Macaca mulatta: one gene and its partners. The protein of the gene in region 2 interacts with the protein of the main gene of each other region in a pairwise test. Links are inferred from orthologs where the notes say so. Each region holds a gene or a part of one and is shown on either strand. Other genes may lie near its edges. The genes, in order: AMFR, UBE2W and RNF26.

The links.
Region 1: the proteins of UBE2W (region 2) and AMFR interact in a two-hybrid assay, tested with the Homo sapiens proteins (2 studies listed by BioGRID and IntAct). The link is inferred for Macaca mulatta from reciprocal best matches to the Homo sapiens genes UBE2W and AMFR.
Region 3: the proteins of UBE2W (region 2) and RNF26 interact in a two-hybrid assay, tested with the Homo sapiens proteins (2 studies listed by BioGRID and IntAct). The link is inferred for Macaca mulatta from reciprocal best matches to the Homo sapiens genes UBE2W and RNF26.

The regions. Positions count from the first base shown.
Region 1 is NC_133425.1:51,978,967-51,985,614, reverse strand, and holds the start of AMFR (E3 ubiquitin-protein ligase AMFR), read left to right. Parts: upstream 1-2,419; 5' UTR 2,420-2,640; coding exon 2,641-2,895; intron 2,896-2,978; exon of another isoform or gene 2,979-3,058; intron 3,059-6,648. UniProt on the Homo sapiens protein: E3 ubiquitin-protein ligase that mediates the polyubiquitination of lysine and cysteine residues on target proteins, such as CD3D, CYP3A4, CFTR, INSIG1, SOAT2/ACAT2 and APOB for proteasomal degradation.
Region 2 is NC_133413.1:84,449,688-84,456,335, reverse strand, and holds the start of UBE2W (ubiquitin-conjugating enzyme E2 W), read left to right. Parts: upstream 1-3,148; coding exon 3,149-3,163; exon of another isoform or gene 3,164-4,433; intron 4,434-6,648. UniProt on the Homo sapiens protein: Accepts ubiquitin from the E1 complex and catalyzes its covalent attachment to other proteins.
Region 3 is NC_133419.1:120,023,564-120,030,211, forward strand, and holds RNF26 (E3 ubiquitin-protein ligase RNF26), read left to right. Parts: upstream 1-2,118; 5' UTR 2,119-2,719; coding exon 2,720-4,021; 3' UTR 4,022-4,915; downstream 4,916-6,648. UniProt on the Homo sapiens protein: E3 ubiquitin-protein ligase that plays a key role in endosome organization by retaining vesicles in the perinuclear cloud.

The DNA of each region.
Region 1 (6,648 bases), on a different chromosome or scaffold from region 2:
CTGATGCTGTCATCAGTCTGCCACACTTGGGGCTTGGGACACAGCTGACAGGTAGCCTGTATGTTGATTCAGTCTCCCCAGGCACATTAAGCATTCATCCCTTTTGGGTCCTGCCTCCTCCCCTGGTCCTCTCATGGAGTAAGATGCAGTTACCAAGAACTAGAAGTATTGGTTAAGACTTAAGAAGACTTGTTTGGTTATTGCCAAAATGTCCTTCCTTGAGACAAGGGTGTGCAAAGTACCTTCTTGGAGTGGGAAAGGAAAAAGTAATGGTAGAAAAATTACTAATTCTAGTAAAAGATCCAAACACAAACCGTTTACATTCTTTAAAAATGCAAACAAAAAATAAGCTTTTATAGTTGGGTTAACTTCCCCTGTTCATGTGAAGTTTCAGAAAGTCCAAGCTTCTAAAAGTTTAATAAGGGCAGATCTATTAAGAGCAGCCTGTTTGTAAGGGTGACAGGACAAATTTGGTTTGTGATAGTTTAGAACTACTGTGGCTAGGATTGAATAAAGATTACCAGTTAGTGGTTTAAAAGTTATGATGGCCCAGATCTTGACCTGTAAAGTAGAACACTTCCCTGAAAATTACAATATTTTTTCAAAATAAAGTTTTCCTTTGTTTTACTGATAAAGTTTAAAGTGTAGCATTTTAATTGCATGGCTGTGGGAAAAAAACCAAAGTGAACTCAAGTCTAGTATTCATATAGACCTTGTTTTAAAAAAATGCACGTGTACAAAGGTAAGACCTCTCCTTGTCCCGGTAAAACTAAACGTTCATCAAAGACCCTTTAACAAGATGTTTCTAAAATTTCCAAAGTGGAATGGTAAGCCTGAGAGATCTTTTGTTTTATAGTTAATAGACTTTTAGAATATTAGGCATGAAGAAAGACTTTGAAAGATAATTTGGTCCTTTTCTTTAGAAAGTTTGGAAAATCCTACAAATATTTACAGAGCACCTACTCTGGGCTGGGAAGTATTACAGGCCTTGGGGATGCAAAAGGAATAAAACTCCCAAGGTAACATTTTTTTCCCTTTGGTAACAGCTTATTGAGATACAATTCACATATTGAGATAGAACTATTTAAAGTGTACAATTCAATGATTTTTCAGAGTTGTGCAATCATCACCTCAATTTTACATTTTCATCACTTTGAAAACAAACCTGTCCCAGCCAGTGACTCACGCCTGTAATCCCTGCACTTTCCGAAGCCGCGGTGGGAGGATCACTTGGGCTCAGGAGCCACAGACAGGTCTGGACAATATAGCAAGACGCTGTCTCTACCAAAAATTAAGGATTAGCCACGTGTGGTGGCATATGCCTATAATCCCATCTACTGGAGAGACTGAAGCAGGAAGATTTCTTGAGCCCAGAAGGTGGAGGATGCAGTGAGCCATGCTCCTGCCACTGTACGTACTCCAGCCTGGGCCACAGACCCTGTCTCTTAAAAGAAACCTGTGCCCTTTATCACCCCCTACCTTCCCTCTTCCTCCCATCCCTAAGCAACCATTAATCAACTTTCTGGGTCTGTATATGTACTTGCCTATTGTGGACATTTCATATCAATGGAATCACACAACACGTGGACCTTTGTGGCTGTCTTCTTTGACTTAGCACGTGTTTAAGGTTCATCCCTATTGTAGCATGTATCAGTAGTTCATTTTTATGACCGAATAGTACATTGTATGGATATATCACATTTATCTACTCATCACTTGATGGACATTAGCGTTGTTTCCATCTTTTGGTTGTTAGAATGGTATCAACATTTGTGTACAAGTTTTGTGTGGAGGTATGTTTCCACTTTTCTTAGAGGACTGGAATTACTGGGTCAAATGGTCACTCTTGTTTGACTTTAAGGAAAGGGCAGATTATTTTCCAAGACAGCCGCACCATTTGACATTCTCACTTCTGGTGTATGAGGGAACACATTTTTATTTCCCGCTAAATCAGGTTCATTTTTTAGTTTCTGCTGGAGGCTACTAGTAAACAGCAGAAACTTGAAAGACTGTTAATATTTTTTCTTCTGGGGTTTTGGGCACCAGGGAAGCTGCTCGGCCCCTAGGAGTGCTTGGGGGTAACTAGCTTCAGAGGGTTAATGGTGGGGGTTAAGTGGGCAGCGGCCTGGTGGCCAGGGTCCCCCGCGCCCTGAGGCCCGGCCCGCCCGTCAGCGCCTGCGGGCCCGAGTGACGCCCGCGCCGCGGCCGGAGCAGGTGCCCTCTGTGTCCGTGGGCCCAGCCGAGCCGTGGTGCGGGCAGCGGATGATGCTGGGTGCCGGCCCCCGGGGCCTGAGGCCTGGGCCTACGCCCGCTAGGCGGCGGCGCGACCGCTGGGGGCGGGGGACGAAGGCCGCGCCCCTGCGCCCGTCCCGCCCGCGTCCCGCTGGGGGCGGTGGCCTGCCCGGAGCCCGCCGAGGCTCTTCCGCGCCGGCAGGGGCAGCAGCGGGAGCAGCGCGGGGCGGAGCGGCGCCAGCAGCCAGGAGCGGCCCGGCCCGGCCCGGCGTGGCGGCAGCGGCGGCGGCGGCAGCGGCAGCGGCAGCGACAGCGACGCCAGAGCCCGTGGGCGCCGTTCGCGAGACCGCGGCAGGGGCCCGGCCGCAGCGCGGGGAGGCCCGGAGACCGGAGGTCGCCGCTGCCGCCATGCCGCTGCTCTTCCTCGAGCGCTTCCCCTGGCCCAGCCTCCGCACCTACACGGGCCTCAGCGGCCTGGCCCTGCTGGGCACCATAATCAGCGCCTACCGCGCGCTCAGCCAGCCTGAGGTCGGCCCGGGCGAGCCGGACCAGCTAACGGCCTCGCTGCAACCCGAGCCGCCGGCGCCCGCCCGGCCGAGCGCGGGGGGACCACGGGCCCGCGACGTGGCCCAGTACCTGCTCTCAGATAGCCTCTTCGTGTGGGTGAGCGAGGCGACCGGGCCCGCGGGGCAGGGACGGGGTCCGCTGCGTCACCCTTTATCCGCGGGGGGCGTGGTGGGCCAAGGGGCCCCTGCGCCAGGGACCCCGGAGGGCAAGCGCCTGGGGGGCGCGGCCTTGCCTGCGGGAGCGCTGCCTAGGTAGAGTGGTGAGGCGCTGGGGGGCAGCGGGGGGGAACCGCGGGCGGGAGGAACATCATGTGGAGTTGCGAGGAGGAGGCCCCGAGGGGCAGGGCAGCGTTGGGGGCTCCGGGAAGGGAGTCGGGGAGGCGGCGGGCGAGGGTCTGCGTGGGGGTGCGGACGGGGCCCAGGGCAGGAGAAGGGGTTAAAGGGCAGTGGGGAGGAAGGGGCTGGGGACCCTCGGGAGAAACTAGACTAAGATCTCAGAGGGCAGGTTCAAGGGGAGGTCGGGATCTGGGAGTGCGTTATCCCTAGGGTTGGACAAAGTAGAGGGAAGTTGAAAGCTTTTCCCACTTGGTCAAGCATGGGATTGTTGTTAGCGGGTTTTCTTCCGACGAAAAGGAGAGGGCAGAGGGGAGAATTCAGACGTTGAGTATGGGGGAATTTTCAGCACTTGGATGTCTTTGGACATTCCAGTTGGAGAGAGGCGTCTCCTACAACTTTTTTGCCGGTTAGTATTCGATTGTCCCCTTTGGGAGCTGTTTAATGAAACAAACACCAGGCAAACTGTGCTTCCTTTTCTGCTGCCTTTACCTGATGATTCATGACAGTTTTCCTTTGATGTATGAACACAGCAAAACATTCGCAGTGTCAAGAGGCAGCCCATCATGTTAACTGAATGTTTCTTATTTGAGGATCTATTCTAACGCAGTTTCCAGGTTGTCTGCCCCCGCGAGATAAGCAGCATTGATAAGGCACACATGCTGGTTTCCTTCATTAGAATAGATAATTTCAGACTGAGCAGATCAATGATATTTTGGCTACAGAATTTTGCTTTCACCTTGGCCTTGAATACTTACGTAAATCCCACAGTGATCAGAAAAGTTTCTCCAGGATTTAAAGTCTCACTTGGATTTAATATGGCTTCTTGGATTTTGTCTCCTTCCAAGTTCCCATTTGGGGTTGAAAGTAGGCTGTAAATGACTGAGAGATTAATATTCCAAGTTGACAGGATGATATGCAACTCATTTGTTATAATTAGTCCCACTGTGCTTCATCAGGAAGCGGTGGGATTTATGGACTCTGTGGGCTGTGGATTAAGTCTCCTGGTCCTTCTGATGGAGAGTTCAGTAGAAGGCAGTGAAGGGTGAAGTTCCTGTTTGTCTACTGCTGTGTAAAACTGAACTTTACAGACCCAAAGAAGGGAGAAGAGAAAGAACTCACCCACATCTCTTGCTTAATTTCAAATCTGATTTTGCATTTGAGTTGCAGGTAAACAACTTAAAGTGATATAGAGAGTGTTTTTGCCATATGTTAAGATTATAATGTAGTCTTTGATATTTTTTAAGTCTGAGATATAAATAAGCCTTTGAGAAGGAACCCTTATTTTATTTATATAACAACCTTGGCATTATTTAATGGATTTTCCCCCGCAGGACTTTCTTTTGATAAAAGCCATGTTCAGATTCTAAGGTTAATACCTCTTCAGAAAACATTACATAAAAGGCTGTTGATTTTTCTGTGATGATGATTACTTTTTAGGAAATTTCCTTTTCTTCCAGCATTTTCAGTAGAGGTCTTACCTCTGGCAAGTTTATCACTTCTTACTCTCTGCTGATGATATTTTCATTTCTCAGTTGATCCTAGTGCTGTTTTTCCTCCATCTTTCCTCTGGGTGTTTATTTCCACGTGTTTATTTTGGCCTGCTTTGGTTTCTCAGAGCCTCCATGTGCTCACTGTGAGTTTGTCTCATCACTCAGTGTTTATGTAGTTTCTGCTTTAGCAGCTGAGTAGAAGTGACAATCTCAAAAGCCTTCCCCAGTGGTGGGACAGATAAGATTGTTGAGTGAATACCCTATGTGGTGGTGCCTTTGTCAACTGGATCCTCCCCTAGTTCTGTTGAATTCGGATTCAACTTTTTCACAAACACTGCCTGCCAAGGCCAAGTAAGACAAAACAAAGACTGATCCTTCTGCCAGTGCAAGTCCTGCTAGATATTGTTTAACATATTGCAGTTCCTAAAACTTATCTTTGTGGAGCACAGTTTAGAATAATATCGGTCTGATAGCATCACAGGAGGTTTTTCATGAACAAACTCAATTTAAAACCTTTTGAAGGTGTTATTTTGGGCACTCTGGAGGGCATATCTGTGAACAACACTTTCCCCTACCCTCAGTAATATGGCACAATTTTACAGGTGATAATAGATAAATAAAATGCAGCAGAGTTTGGAGGAAAAAGAAAGGAATTGTGCCTAGGGAAGGGTTCGTGGAAGGTGGTGTTTGAACCATCTTGGAAGGTGGGAAGGGTCTCAACCAGCAGCAATGGGTATTCCAGATAAAGAAACCAGCATGTGGAGCTCGGTCTGGCTGGGGGAGGACAGTGCTGGGCACAGGCAGGGTGGTCTGGAAGCTGGGCTGTTAAATAAAAAATCTGTTGAATCTTCTGGTTTAAGAGGGAGGTTGAGAAGGTGAAGAGGAGACTGGGGGGTGAAGGAGGTGGGGCAGGTGCCTCTGCTGTGAGAGGAGGAGGTGAGCAACCCCTTTGAAGGTTTCTTTCTCAAAGTGTGGACCTCTGGCAGCCTGGTATGTGGTCATCTGGGGTACTTGTAAAGTGTAGTTTCCCTGGGGATCCATTTCAGAGAGAAGGGTGGAGCCTTGGAATCTTCATTTTAATGAATGCCCTAGGTGATCTGAGGGACACTAGTGGTTGAAAAACTAACCTAGGAAGAGGCTGGAGTATGGTGTCATGTAACCTTGACCTTGCTTGCTCTACCAAGTGTGGACAGTATTGGGGCTTAAGTGGGGGTGGGGCATGGAGGAATAGGGGTGCTGTCATGATTTCTTTCAGAAGATAGTCTGGGAGCAGTGTGGAAGATAGAGTTATGTAGAGTGGGAAGAGGACGGGAGATCTAGTGACCTATAACTTCCTCCTCCCAAGGGGGCCTCTCCAGGTGGCCCTCATACATGACATTGAGAACGGATTTGGGAGGAGGCTTCTGGGTTTTTACACTAACAGATATGTGGGTTTGACCTGACCTTTTGTTTCCCCTTGTCTTTCTAAAACTTCCACCCTAAAGTTTGATTTCAGATGAGTTTTTATTTTGTTACTCATTTCTGGGCTATTTTACATTGCTCAGATAATGCTTCTATTCAGCTCCCTCTTGGTCCCTTCTAGCATGGTTTTGGATTGTTCAGGTGTTTTGGCTTTTTCATTTTTTAATTCTTACTCATTACTTTTATTAGTTCCCTTTTCTGCTTTCTTAAATATCTGCTTCTAAAATTCTAAGAGCAAGATATGCAAATGGAGAGATAGAAATATGAAACTAGTGTCAAGGTTCTGATTAATTGTGCAAATAATATCATTTAAATAGAACTCTCAAAGGGAAAAATAACTACAAATAAAAGTGGATAAAAGTGAATTGACCATTTAGAACAGGGATTGGCAAACTCGCGGCCTATTTGACTAGGCCTATTTTTGTCTTAACAGCTAAGAATGTTTTTTATATTTTTAAAGGGTTGTAAAACAAATTAAATAAATTAAGGAAGTTCCAGAGCCTAAAATATTCACTGTCTGAGAGTACGTTAGAGAAAAATTGGCTGACTCCTATTTTAAAGAG
Region 2 (6,648 bases):
CACATACACAGCTCAGGTATGTCCAGTTTTTTTGTTTTTGTTTTTGTTTTTTTCTTCCAGGGAAGTGGAGATGCAGGTAGTTTGTGAGATGAGGGAGAATCTCCTCCTTGTAACCTGATGGTCATTTCTAATTGCTGGGGAAATGAAAAAGTGAACATCATTATCAAATCTAACAAAAATAACAATTCCTTAATATTTTCTAATATCTACTCTATATTTAATTTTCTCCAGGTGTCTCAAAAATATCTTTTTTACAGTTTGTTTGAATCTAGATCCAAACAATGTTAACATATGCATTTGTTCAATATATCTCTTACGTGGCCAAGCATGGCCTGTAATCCCAGCACTTTGGAAGGCCAAGGCAGGTGGATCACTTGAGGCCAGGAGTTCGAGACCAGACAAAACCCCGTCTCTACTAAAAATATAAATATATATATATATATATATATATAAATAATTATATATATATATATATATATAAAATTACATATGATGTTATTGAGAAGATCCAGTAAGGATATGGGAAACTTTAACTTCATTATTGCTGAACTGTTTTCCAAAGTGATTGCACCAGTGTCACTCCTATAGAGTTTATGAGAGCTCCACTTCCTCTCTCACTTTTGGTATTATCAGATTTTTTTTTTTTTTTTGAGATGACAGGGTCTTGCTCTGTCACCTACACTGAAGTGCACTGGCATTATCCTGTCAGACATTTTAACTTTTGCCTGATAGTAATGATAGTAACGCTTGCTCTGTAGAGATATGAGCCTAGTCTTCAAACATTGCATAATAGTGTTTTAGATATTAACATTATATGCTCACTGGAGATAATTACATACCCCCCACACCATCTGTAAGTCACTGTTTTGGCTCCTATGTCAGGATCTTTTTATTAAATATTAACAAAAGAATGGCTGGGCGCAGTGGTTCACACCTGTAATCCCAGCCCTTTGGGAGGCTGAGGCAGGTGGATTACGAGGTCAGAAGTTCAAGACCAGGCTGGCCAACATGGTGAAACCTCATCTCTACTAAAGATACAAAAAATTACAAAAAATTAGCTGGGCATGGTGGTGTGTACCTGTAATCCCACCTACTTGGGAGGCTGAGAGAGGAGAATCACTTGAACCTGGGAGGCGGAGGTTGCAGTGAGCCAAGATCGCGCCATTGCACTCCAGCCTGGGTGACAGAGTGAGACTCCGTCTCAAAAAAAAAAAAAAAAAAGAAGACAGGTTATTATGTGCTATTTAGTATTACCTAGAAAGGATTACTGGCATTGACCTTTCCCTCCTGTGAAGATACTTCTAACATATATGAAACCCAAGGGACCAGATACTGGTTCCACTGTGATGAGTGTCAGAATTCTTGTAACCTCTTTTTTCCTCATTAGTATCTGTCATGGTAGGTTGTTGGCTCTGACGATGTCATAATGCTTTGTTTGTAGGGTCATCCGACACTACTTTTTCCATAGGAACAATCAGCTTTTAGGCAAAGTGAACCTTGGACAGTAAAACCTGATCTTCTGAGGTCACAGAAATAAAGACATCTCAAAGAAAATATACTGGAAACTTCTTTAAGTTTTCCTCCTTCATTGGGATACGTGGGTTTCCTCACTGTTGTAATGTTGATGACACAACAGGGCTAACACCGGATATGCTTCTGGTTGATTCCGGTTTACCAAGAGCATCCAAACATCCCTCAAGGACACAGTCATTTTGCACAACAAAGGGAAACTCCGCTCATTTCTGGCATTAGGGTGGACATCTGAGAGAGGGGAGGGTATACCACCGTAACTTCTCTAGTGATGAGTAGTGTTTAATATTATGCCATAGACTAACTGGCGTATTTTAAAGATCTTTTTCCTTTTTGAACACATTTCAGATTAGAGAAGTTCCAGAGAACGTAATCTATTTTAAGAGTGTGAAACAGTGATATTCTGCATTGCTTTTATATCTTAAAGAAATTTCTAAAAAGAAAGCCGAGTCAATAAAATGACAGATTTTAAGCCTTCATTCTGGTAACATAAAAGCCTTCTACTCATTGTGTCTGCCACCTTAATTTTTAAAGATAGAGCATGAGGTGCAAGCTTTTGGCTTCCATTTTCCTCTTATAAACCAATGACATCTTCAGTTCCAGAATAGCTTTTTTAAAACGTGACTTCTGATAAATGTTGGCAGAACTGGTGCATTCCTAAAATAAATTATGTATGCTCAGCTTTCCCTACCCAAGTTCATCCCTAACTGACCACAAAACTGCCCACCACGAAATAGGCTTAAGAGAAGTCTGGACATAATGGTCTAAGTGTATATAACACAACACTGGTATATTTTTAAAAATTCAGTATATTTTAAAAAATTCATGCCTAGGGTCAATTCTGATAATCAAATTTAGACTGCCGCAACAACCGTAACTACTGTTGATACATGCGAAGTTTAAAACTGAAGGGCTGGGGTAAGGGGCAGAAACTGTACACAACAAACTTCCAAATTTTCTCTCCCCTTTCAGGCAAGTTTCAGCTCCACAAATCTAAATACCCTCGCCTTTAAAATATCAGTGTCGTTTTGCTCTTTAATCCTCATCCTGTTGTACAAGGAAACCTATGTCTCTCTTCCCCAGATTAAGAATACAAGAAGCTTTCCAGGTCTACAAGGACCAGAAAGCAGCTGCGCGGGAAGTTTCATGGGGCCCCAAGGCTCTCAGAGTGGGCTTGACGGTATGGAAAACACATCCCAAGAGAAAAATCTGTGAACCGCACAGCTGTGTTTGGAAAACCAAAACGAAATAGAAAAAAATCTGAGCTGATCCGGACGGCATCAGGATTACGCGGTACACAAGAAGAAAACAACCGTAGCCGGGTCAAAACTGGAGCCGTGTCTCCTCAGTAACCAGAGTAAACGGAAGACCGACGCGGGAGCGGCGAACCGGACTGAGACCGAAGGTACTCGGAGCGCCATTTACCACGTCCTCGCCCCGCCCCCTAGCCCCTCCTCCCGTCCGCCCTGCGCGCCAGCCAATCCCCTCGCGCCATCACCTTCCCATCGTAGGCCCCGCCTCCGCGCCCGGGATGTTGAGCCCCCGCGGCGTGACGCGAGCACGGCAGCTCCTCCCCCTGCGTCTCTGGCCTCGCCGGTCTTGGGGGGATGGTTCCATCATGGCGTCAATGCAGGTGAGAGGAGTTTGCTGCATCTGGGCGGGCCAGGGAGCCGCCGAGAGAGTGCCAGCGTTCGGGCGGGGGTGGCGTCCGCGATTCGGGGACACCCGGGCGGGTTCGGGATCGGCCCGGGTGGCTTGTTTTCCTTCAGCTCAGGGCGTCGGGGGAGGGGTAAGAGGCGGCGAGAGGCGTTGGGGGGGTGCGGTATCCGTCGGTCGAAGCGGACACCAGCCGGCCGGGAAGTTGGGTGATAAAGGAGGCTTGGGGGAGAAAGGGCGAAGTCTGGTGTTGGCAGCCTCAGAATCGGCTCCCCGCGCACACACACACACACACACGGCCACTGCCAGTCTGCTGCCCGCCAGTCCCAGGGTTGCCTTTACCCCCGCTGTCCCTGGCCCGACGGAAACAGCTGCGCCCGCGGTTGTTGCCGGGGCAGGGGCGGCGAGGGGCTGAGTGTGGGGGAGCCGAGAAGGCGTCTCCGGAGAAGGCGACTGGCTGCGGACGGCGCTTAGCGGCCTCTGCTCCGGCCTCCCACGCCGGGCCCCCCAGACTGCTTGGCCCCGTCTCTCTCTTCTTCCCTTTGACTCTTAATCCTGTGCCCGTGGGTATCCGCTCTTTCCATCAGCCTCGGCATTCTCGCGGACATTACTTCAGCAGTCCAGTGTCTCCTCCTCTCGAAGCTGCCCCGAGTCCACTGCCTGATGGGCGATCTCCCGAGAGCCAAGTCCTCAGCCCCCTGAAACCTTTCGGGATAGCTCGCCCTTTATTTTGTTTCCCCCTACAAGGCCCCACCCTTGCGGTCGCGATAAGGCTATACATCTCTTTGCCCTTATTCGCAGACCTTTAGTGGAACCTTAGTTTGGTAGGAGGCGTTTGTTAACCTGTGCCACATCCACCCGACTTAGCAAGGCGTGGTTTTCTGGCTTTCCAACTTAATTTACTCCTTTTTCCCGAATTCAGGGAGTTGCGGGTTTTTTGTGTTTTTGTTTTCAGGCAAAGATGGCAACCACAATTGTAGTTTTGTAGAGATTGGCTGCGTTATCTATAGCCTGCATTTAATTCATAGGTGAAGACTAGCGGTATCAAAGACATTGGAAGAGAAAGTAGAACACTCAATAGGAGTGTCAGCTGAATACTCTTTAGCGTTTTAATAATATCCCCTTGGGTAAAGAGACCACGTTTTCTTAGAAGTGTTTTTTGCTTTTGTTTCTGAAAGAAGCAAGTCTCTGTTCCTCCTCCATTTTTTTTTCTTTTCTCTGCTAAAAGTGTTTTTCTTCCCTTTTCTGCAACTTCTTCCTCTTTTGTACAAATATATCTTTGCTTCACATTTACTCCTGTGCTTTTATGTTATTCCCCTTTCAACCTGTTTTCCTTACAATATTCTCTTTACTTTTGCTTCTCCCTCTGGACTTGCCTGCAGAACAGAAAAGTTTTATGTAACATTTCTAGTTGAAGAGATGTCACGAATGGTGCAGGGAAAAAAACAGGAACAATTTCAGGAAACATTATACTTTACACTAGTCCCCCAGAGACGTTAGAGAAGTTTCGTCATTTGAGGCCAAGAAAAGGAACTGTGGAATGCTAGTTGAACAGTAGATGCAATAGGCTACATGACCACTTAAAGATTTTTATCTGTGTTAAGATTAAAACATTTTTTATGACAAGTTTAAGATTATCTGTATTAAGATTAAAACATTATTTGAGAGTAAAAATTAAGATTAAAATCCACAACACTCGTGATAATATTTGACAAGAGAACGTAGTGTGCCATCTGGTTAGATTTAGTATCTGGAAAAGGCAGATTTGTTTGTAAGAGAAAGGTTGGTAATGTTGAACTTTACATGGTGTCTTTTTTTTTTTTTTTTTTTTTTTTTTTTTGAGACGGAGTTTAGCTCTTGTTGTCCAGGCTGGAGTGCAGTGGGGGCGATCTCGGCTCACCGCAGCCTCCGCCTCCCGGGTTCAAGTGATTCTCCTGCCTCAGCCTCCCGAGTGGCTGGGATTACAGGCATTGGCCATCACGCCCAGCTAATTTTGTATTTTTAGTAGAGACAGGAGTTTCTCCATGTTGGTCAAGCTGGACTTGAACCCCCGACCTCAGGTGATCCGCCCACTTCAGCCTCCCAAAGTGCTGGGATTACAGGTGTGAGCCACCGTGCCCGGCCTACATGATGTCTTAAGCAATGGAAACAAATACTTGATTGATAGTGCAATAGTGCATTTTTCTGTGCCCTAAGTATTACCTCAGACTGTCTTACCACTCTTTGAAGTTTTTCCTTCACCTTATTCCATCTAAATCTTATCACTCTCTATTCTTCTGTGTTTTCTGGTTAGAGGAATGGAAAATGGATGCTTAACTCTTTTTATTAAAGTAAAAAGTCTTTTCCTTTTGTTTGTATTTTAAAATATCTAGTGCAGATTTTCTGGTAGTATCTTTAAGAATATTTAAATATGTATAAGTCAGGCTTTTTGAAAGACAGCCCTACTTTCTGTGTGGTTATTCTGTATCTTTGTTGTACAGAATTTATATCCTATCTTAATGGCAACATCTGGCTCTTTTAAGACAACTAGATTATACATAAATCTTCAATCAAATTATCAAATTTGTTTAATCACTGAGCCAGTTACCTTTTGGGGGCCCTCTGTGTGTCAGACACTTATCTAGGTGCCGCGGTTATAGCAATGAACAAAAGCGAACAAGATTTTTGCCCTCATGGATTTAATAATAAATAGTCTGGTAAGAAGAGACAGATAATAACAGCATATTTAAGTTAATTGTTTTTTGTTTTTTGTGTTGAGATGGAGTCTCACTGTGTCGCCCATTCTGGAGTGTAGTGGTGCAATCACGGCTCGCTGCAACCTCTGCTCCCAGGGTTCTAGCAATTCTCCTACTTAGCCTCCTGAGTAGCTGGGATTACGGGTGCTGGCCACCACGACCAGGTAATTTTTTTGTGTTTTTCGTGGAGACTGGGTTTCGCTATGCTGGCCAGGCTGGTCTTGAACTCCTGACCTCAAGTGATCCTCTCGCTTCGGCCTCCCAAAGTGCTAGGATTACAGGTGGGAGCCACTGCACCTGGCCAAGTGTGTTACTATATTAGAAGGTGATAGTGCAGTGGAGAAAAAACATGGAAGGCTAGGAAATTGATCATTTGGGGATTTCGATTAGGAAAAAATAAACTGTAACATGGAATGACCATGTCCTTACTCAAAAAGCTTTTAGTAGATTTCTTTATCTTACCCACACCAGGTGTTGCTGCTGCTGAAGAAGTTACTTAAGCTGTAAGAGGAACTGTATTTTTTTTTATGCCATGTTATACACATGTAACATGGGATTTCATTACCTGATAAAAATTAAATAGTCTTTAGGATCAATGCAGTAAAACAAGTAAGACTTTGAATTTCTTTTGGAGAGTATGTATTTAAAGTTGAGCTAGTAACTGCTTTAATGTATTCTGTCAGTGCGTCTCAACCATCTTTTAGGTTCTGTCCACATAGAAAGTAAG
Region 3 (6,648 bases), on a different chromosome or scaffold from region 2:
TTCCAGAGGGCTTTACACTGCATCTTCCATTAGAAAATACTGCAAGGATAGAGCTTCAAGGTGTTCAGCTTTCTCAATATCTGGCTTATTTTCTTCTCAATCCCTGGGACTAACATTGTCAAACAATTTGAACTTCCTCCCTAAAGCTAGTTGGAGTGTTTGTCCCTGCCCAAAGCAGGATTACCTGCTAGGTTTCCTGGGAGTCAAGGGTTGTGGCTCATTAAAGATGGCTTTGCATTAGTGAGTCTCAGATCACTCAAAGGGGAGGTCTTGGTCCTAAACAAATGGAAATACTCTCTTAGAGGATCCTGCCAACTCTGAGAAGGCCTTTACATGCTTCTTGGTGTGGAAAACTGGCCAGTTAATTGCACATAGTACAGGCACAGCACGTTTGCCAGGTTTGACTTTGGACATAATGAGTAGGAAGCACCAGTGGGATACCCAGGAACTCTTCATGTCCAGGAAGCAGCTGGAGCCTGAACTTTGCAGGACAGGTTCAGGCTGAAGACACAAATTTAGAAATTATTGTGTATACAGGAGAGGAGGCTATGATGGAAACAGAAAGAATATAGGAAAGGGTAATGCCTCTGAGGCAGGAAGTGGTCAGTGGTGTCAAGTGCTGCAGGAAGATTGATTAATAACAACACAGTGTTCACTGGACAAGTAAGATCCCTGAAGAGGAGATGGTACGGGTGATGGGATCAAGTGTCTTGAAAGGGAAGTGGGCACATTCTCCAAGATTTGACACTGGCAGGAGGATGCAAGTGGGCAAATAAAAACATCATCAACACATCACAACACAACAAACCATAACCTGGGCAGGGCCTGAGAGCAGCGAGAGAGAAAGGGTAGGAAGAAGCCAGAGGAGTTTCAGCGCCTGCAGTCCTTCCTCTGCACCGTAGCGTAGCCCCTACCACGACCCCACGGCCTCAGTAAAGGTTTGCTGCACACCTCAGCTTCTTATCAGTGATGCTTTGGAGAATGAAGGACTCCGAGGCAGTGTTCAGGGCAGAGTGAAGGGGGATGGACAATTTGAGGAGCCCAGGAGTGGAGATGGAGAATTCAACCCAAGTAGGAAATTCAGCAAAGGTAACCAGGGGAAAGATAAGTCCGCTAGGAGTCCGCTAAGTATCCTTGGAGTTAGTAGAAAATCCCAGGATTCCCAATATATTTGGGATGGGGTTTCAAATATATTTTGACTATTGTTTGAGTATTAAAGAAAAGGGCAGGGCCAGGCTTGGTGGCTGACGCCTGTAATCTCAGCACTTCGGGAGGCCGAGGCGCCTGGATCACGAGGTTCAGGAGCTGGAGGCCAGCCTGGCCAACATGGTGAAACCCCGTCTCTACTAAAAATACAAAAATTAGCCGGGTGAGGTGGTGGGCGCCTGTACTACCCGGGAGGCTGAAGCAGGAGAGAATCGCTTGAACCCAGGAGGCAGAGGTTGCAGTAAGCCGAGATCGCGCCACTGCACTCTAGGGTAGGAAGGCCCAGGGTAGCAAGCTGAGCTGTTTCGAAATCTGCAGCCACCTTTTCTCAATGACAATGAAGTAATCTTCCAAGATGTTGAAAAACCTGGTGCGGAAAGTTTGGAGTAGCAGTTTGGGAATCTCCTGTAATAATCCGCTTTCCCTTGTGAACCTCAGGCACTGTCTTAAAATTTTTTGTATCCTCAATGCACTGTAGGAGCTCAACAAATGATAGAATAGATGAATAAATAGAGGAGAATGAGGAGACGGATCTGAACAGGCTGCGAAGGAGGTGCTATTCCAAAGCCCAGCCCAGAGGCAGTGACCTCGGACTCAAACCAAAAAAAACAGCTCGCGTTCGGAGGCCGGGAGAAAGAACAGCTCCCAAATTAAGGGGAGTCCAAGGCCTTGCTCTTTTAGAGGGCGGGGCTAGGAGAACGTATTCCGACGCTGCCCGTCAACGAGCCAATCCCCGCCTCAAGGGGGAGGGGATTTAATCTGTCGCCGCTCCTTCCCTTCGGAAAGTAAATACGTTCGTGCGCCATTCAAACGGACCAATGAGTGATTGACGTTGTTGCGCTTGGCCCTCACCGATTGGCTGGAGTTTGTCGTCCCTCCCTCCTCGTCATCCCTCTGGCTCCACCCCTTTGCACACAAGATGGCGGCGCCCAGCGGAATAGGGGCTGCGCTTGGGGTTTGCTGAAGCTGGTTGCCTCTCCCACTCCCCTTTTGGGTGCAAAGCGCCGCTAACGGGAGGACGGGGGCCGGGCGGGGACAGGGGCACCTGCGTAGCTGGACTGCGAGCCCGCGCCCAGCTTGCGTCGACCCCACCCGGCCCCGGCCCGACCCGACCCGACCCGATCCGATCCAATCCGATCCCATTCCATCTGTTCCCCGTCTCCTCCCGGTCTGACCCATTGCCCGGCCGTGGTTCGCCACACCAGGCATCCAAAGCTGAGGTCGCTCCTACGGCCTGGGCTCGCCTTCGCTTTGGAGATGTTTGGGCTCTTCCCTCCCAAACAGCCCATCTTCAAAACCTGGACTCTTGGACTGGCACCTGGCCCCCTTTCCCTCTACCAAGACTCCTCTTCCCTCTTACCCACTTCTTCCTCAGATTCTTGGTACCGCCTGTGTTGGAGACTGCTCATTTTCCTTCCAAATTAATCCCAGACCCCCTAAAATATTGACAACCTAGACAACCCCACAACCGAGGAGCCAGACTTTCTTTTGGACTAACCTCCATAGCCCTATCATGGAGGCAGTGTACCTGGTAGTGAATGGGGTGGGCCTGGTGCTGGACGTGCTGACCTTGGTGTTGGACCTCAACTTCCTGCTGGTGTCCTCCCTCCTGGCTTCCCTGGCCTGGCTCCTGGCCTTCGTCTACAACCTGCCGCACACGGTACTGACTAGTCTTCTGCACTTGGGCCGCGGAGTCCTGCTTTCATTGCTGGCCTTGATCGAAGCCGTGGTCCGGTTCACATGTGGGGGCTTGCAGGCCTTGTGTACCCTGCTCTATAGCTGCTGCTCTGGCCTGGAGAGCCTAAAGCTCCTGGGGCACCTGGCCTCTCACGGGGCACTGCGGAGCAGGGAAATACTGCACCGGGGCGTCCTCAGTGTGGTCTCCAATGGCCATGCTTTGCTGCGCCAGGCCTGTGACATCTGTGCCATTGCCATGAGCCTGGTGGCTTATGTGATCAACAGCCTGGTCAACATCTGCCTCATCGGCACTCAGAACCTCTTTTCCCTGGTGCTGGCCCTGTGGGATACAGTGACCGGGCCTCTGTGGAGGATGACGGATGTAGTGGCTGCCTTCCTAGCCCACATTTCCAGCAGTGCTGTGGCCATGGCCATCCTCCTTTGGACACCCTGCCAACTAGCCCTGGAGCTGCTGGCCTCAGCTGCCCGCCTCCTGGCCAGCTTTGTGCTTGTCAATCTCACTGGCCTGGTGTTGCTGGCTTGCGTGCTGGCAGTGACGGTGACTGTGTTGCATCCGGACTTGACCCTGAGACTGGCTACCCAGGCACTCAGCCAGCTCCATGCCCGGCCATCCTACCACCGTCTTCGAGAGGATGTCATGAGGCTCTCTCGCCTAGCACTGGGCTCAGAGGCCTGGCGCCGAGTCTGGAGCCGCAGCCTGCAGCTGGCGAGTTGGCCGAACCGCGGAGGGGCACCTGGAGCCCCCCAGGGTGACCCTATGAGGGTGTTCTCAGTTAGGACCCGGAGACAGGACACTTTTCCTGAAGCGGGGCGCAGATCAGAGGCAGAAGAGGAGGAGGCCAGGACCATCAGAGCGACACCTGCCAGGGGCCGAGAGAGGCTCAACGATGAGGAGCCTCCAGGCGGGCAAGACCCGTGGAAGTTGCTGAAGGAGCAAGAGGAGCGGAAGAAGTGTGTCATCTGCCAGGACCAGAGCAAGACGGTGTTGCTCCTGCCCTGCAGGCATCTGTGCCTGTGCCAGGCCTGCACTGAAATCTTGATGCGCCACCCCGTCTACCACCGCAACTGCCCGCTGTGCCGCCGGGGCATCCTGCAGACCCTCAATGTCTACCTCTGAAGACTCCTTCCCTACCTGCCCACCCCTCCACGCTCCATGCAGGCACTCACGCTAGGACAGCATTAACAGCTCATCTCCGGGTCCTGGTCTGAATCCCTCCTACCCCTGTGGCTGTCCTGCCAGGCCTCCAAGCCATACATCCAGGACATTGAGATGGAAGACTATGATGTGGGTGGGGGCAGGATAACATAGCTTCTCCTTACCCAGTGGGTCCCTTCGATGCTGAGGGTGGTGAGTATGTCACTATGCAAGGGCCTTGAGACTGTTTGCTGTGGGCTCTCCTCCAGCTTGCCCAGGGCCCACCCAGCTGCCTCTGGGGTTACCCCTCTCTGCTTGTGGTTTTTCTGTTGGAGATCTGTAGGTCCTTTTCCTGCCTCCTTCACATTTCCTCCCCAGCTTTTGTGGCCACAACATATCAGTGTTATTTGGGTGTTTTGGCAACTCAGGGGCCTTCGGATGATCTTGAACCTTTGTGTTCAGCCAGAGCCCCTGTGCCCTGGTAGGCTTTGGGGTTAGTATCTCTCAGGTACCCTCAGAGCCACCTCTGCCTGTCATCGTCTGATGAGGCTCCCTCCCAACCTGATCCAAAAGCTGGGCTCACGAGTTTACCCCTGGGATGGGGGATGCATCTGCACCTGACTTTGGGACCATGTGCTCTCTGGCACCCCAACTCACTGCAAGTCTCAGGAGGGATAACCAGATTTCTACTCATTCCCCTTTCACTCCCACATCACACAGAAAAATGGCATTCCTCTCTGTCTCTCCCTGGCATTGGAGAGGGCAGACTGTGCACAGTTCACTAGGGTCCAAATACAGAAGGGGCCAGGGCCCAGGGGCTTGCAGCTTCCTGAGGGGTCTCTGGCCCAGTTTCCTATGAATAAAGTTATCTTGACAGCTCTGACAGTCTCTTGTGCGTCCCTGCAAGGGAGCAGTTGGTCAAGGCAACAGACCCTGCATCAGGGTCCTTCAGCCCTGCCGGAGTCAGAAGTGTGGGCTGTGGGAGTACCTGGGCTTTAGCGGGGGAGACAGGGAAGGAGCTAAGATAGGCTGGGAAGACTGTGTCATGGGGAGAGTGCATGCCAGGCGTGGCTCTGTGAGCTGTCATCCCTTCTGATTTGTCCCCTTGCACACGTGGCTTTCGAAAAGCCTTCTGTATTTTTTCTATTTTTGCCCAAATTAAGCCCTTGTAGAGAGGAATGTGAACCATCTCACCGCTTGAGTCAGCCTTCCCAGCCCCTCCCCTCCCCGGGCCAGTCTTCCTGGGAGGGAGCATGGGGTTCCTGCTGCCTGGATCCCAGGAGGAGCTGGTGTGTGTCCCTGTGTGTCTTAGCATGGGGTCTGGTGCAGGGCTGGGTTGGAGTGTGGCTGCGGGACCTCCTGATGGAGGCTGCCTGAGGCCTGTCTCTAGCTCACATTTGGGCTCAGTCCCCATTGGCCGTATCTGCCCTCACATGACCAGCGGAAGAGCAGGGGCACTCCCCCATAATTGTATGTTCTGTCTGGGACCACAGTGCCTGGGACTGCCTTCAGGAAGGGGGCGCCGGTAGCTCAGGAAGAACTCTGAGGAGAGGCCCCCCTTCCTTGGGTTGAGGCTGTGCAGATGGGGCTGGGCAGTCCTGGTTTGTTAGTCATTGGGTTGGAGGTGGGCCCCCCCGGTGGGGGAGCCTTGAGGGGCTTTGTGGCTAGCCTCAGACACAGTGGCTCGGCCCACCCAGGCTATGCCCAGAGCAGTGGGGGAGGGCTCCTCATCTCCACCTCAGAACTGGGAGGCCTAGGGAGGGTTTGGCACTTGCTCTTTCCTTCCCTCAATCCGGGACAGGGAGCTGAGCAAGGGGAGGACCGGCTCCTTCCAGTCTCTGTTTAATGTGGGGATAAACATTTTATGATAGAAGATAAACTTCCTGAGTTGGGAGTAAAGGACTCCCCTTTTCTTCCATCTGCATCTGGAATTCCTTTGGCCGACCTCAATACCCCTCCTCCCCCTCACCACCCATAGTCAGGAGCTCAAGCTTCCCAGTATCCCTGCGGCATTCTGGGGCCAGGGCACCCCCTTGTGGTCATCTCAGAAACTACTTACCTCTAGACGCCCAGGGAGGCCACTCACTCGGGTTACAGAGCAATAGCTTTCCAGTCATCTGGGGACCAGGCAAGCAGCCAGGGCAGTCATAGACGAAAGTCCTCGGCTCTTTTTTGTTGGATCAGGGCAGGGGCATGTGTGGTGCAGGCAGCCCCTATGTGGTTTAGTTGGCATCTTTGAATTAGAAAAAGGTACCCCCTTTCTTAAGGGTGGCTGGAGCCCTACACCAGGAGGGCATCCCGCTGTCAGACACTCCTATTCACAACCTAGGTGGCGGCTCTGTGGAGCAGCCTCTCATTCCCCTGGGCCGGCTTCCTGTATATCTGTCCCATATCTCTATTTCATCCAAGAGCCCTGCCTTCTGCCTGAGCACCTCTCCACACCATGATCCCAGAAACAGAAGCCCCGCCACCAAAGAAGAAAGGCTGGAGCCAGTAGGAGTGTTCTCAGATTTATTGAGTGATCTCTGAGTAAAGGGCCGGCCCCATGCGCAGGAGGGGGTGAGGAGGATCCAGAGAAGCAGAGGACCAGGAAGAGAGCACCCCACCAT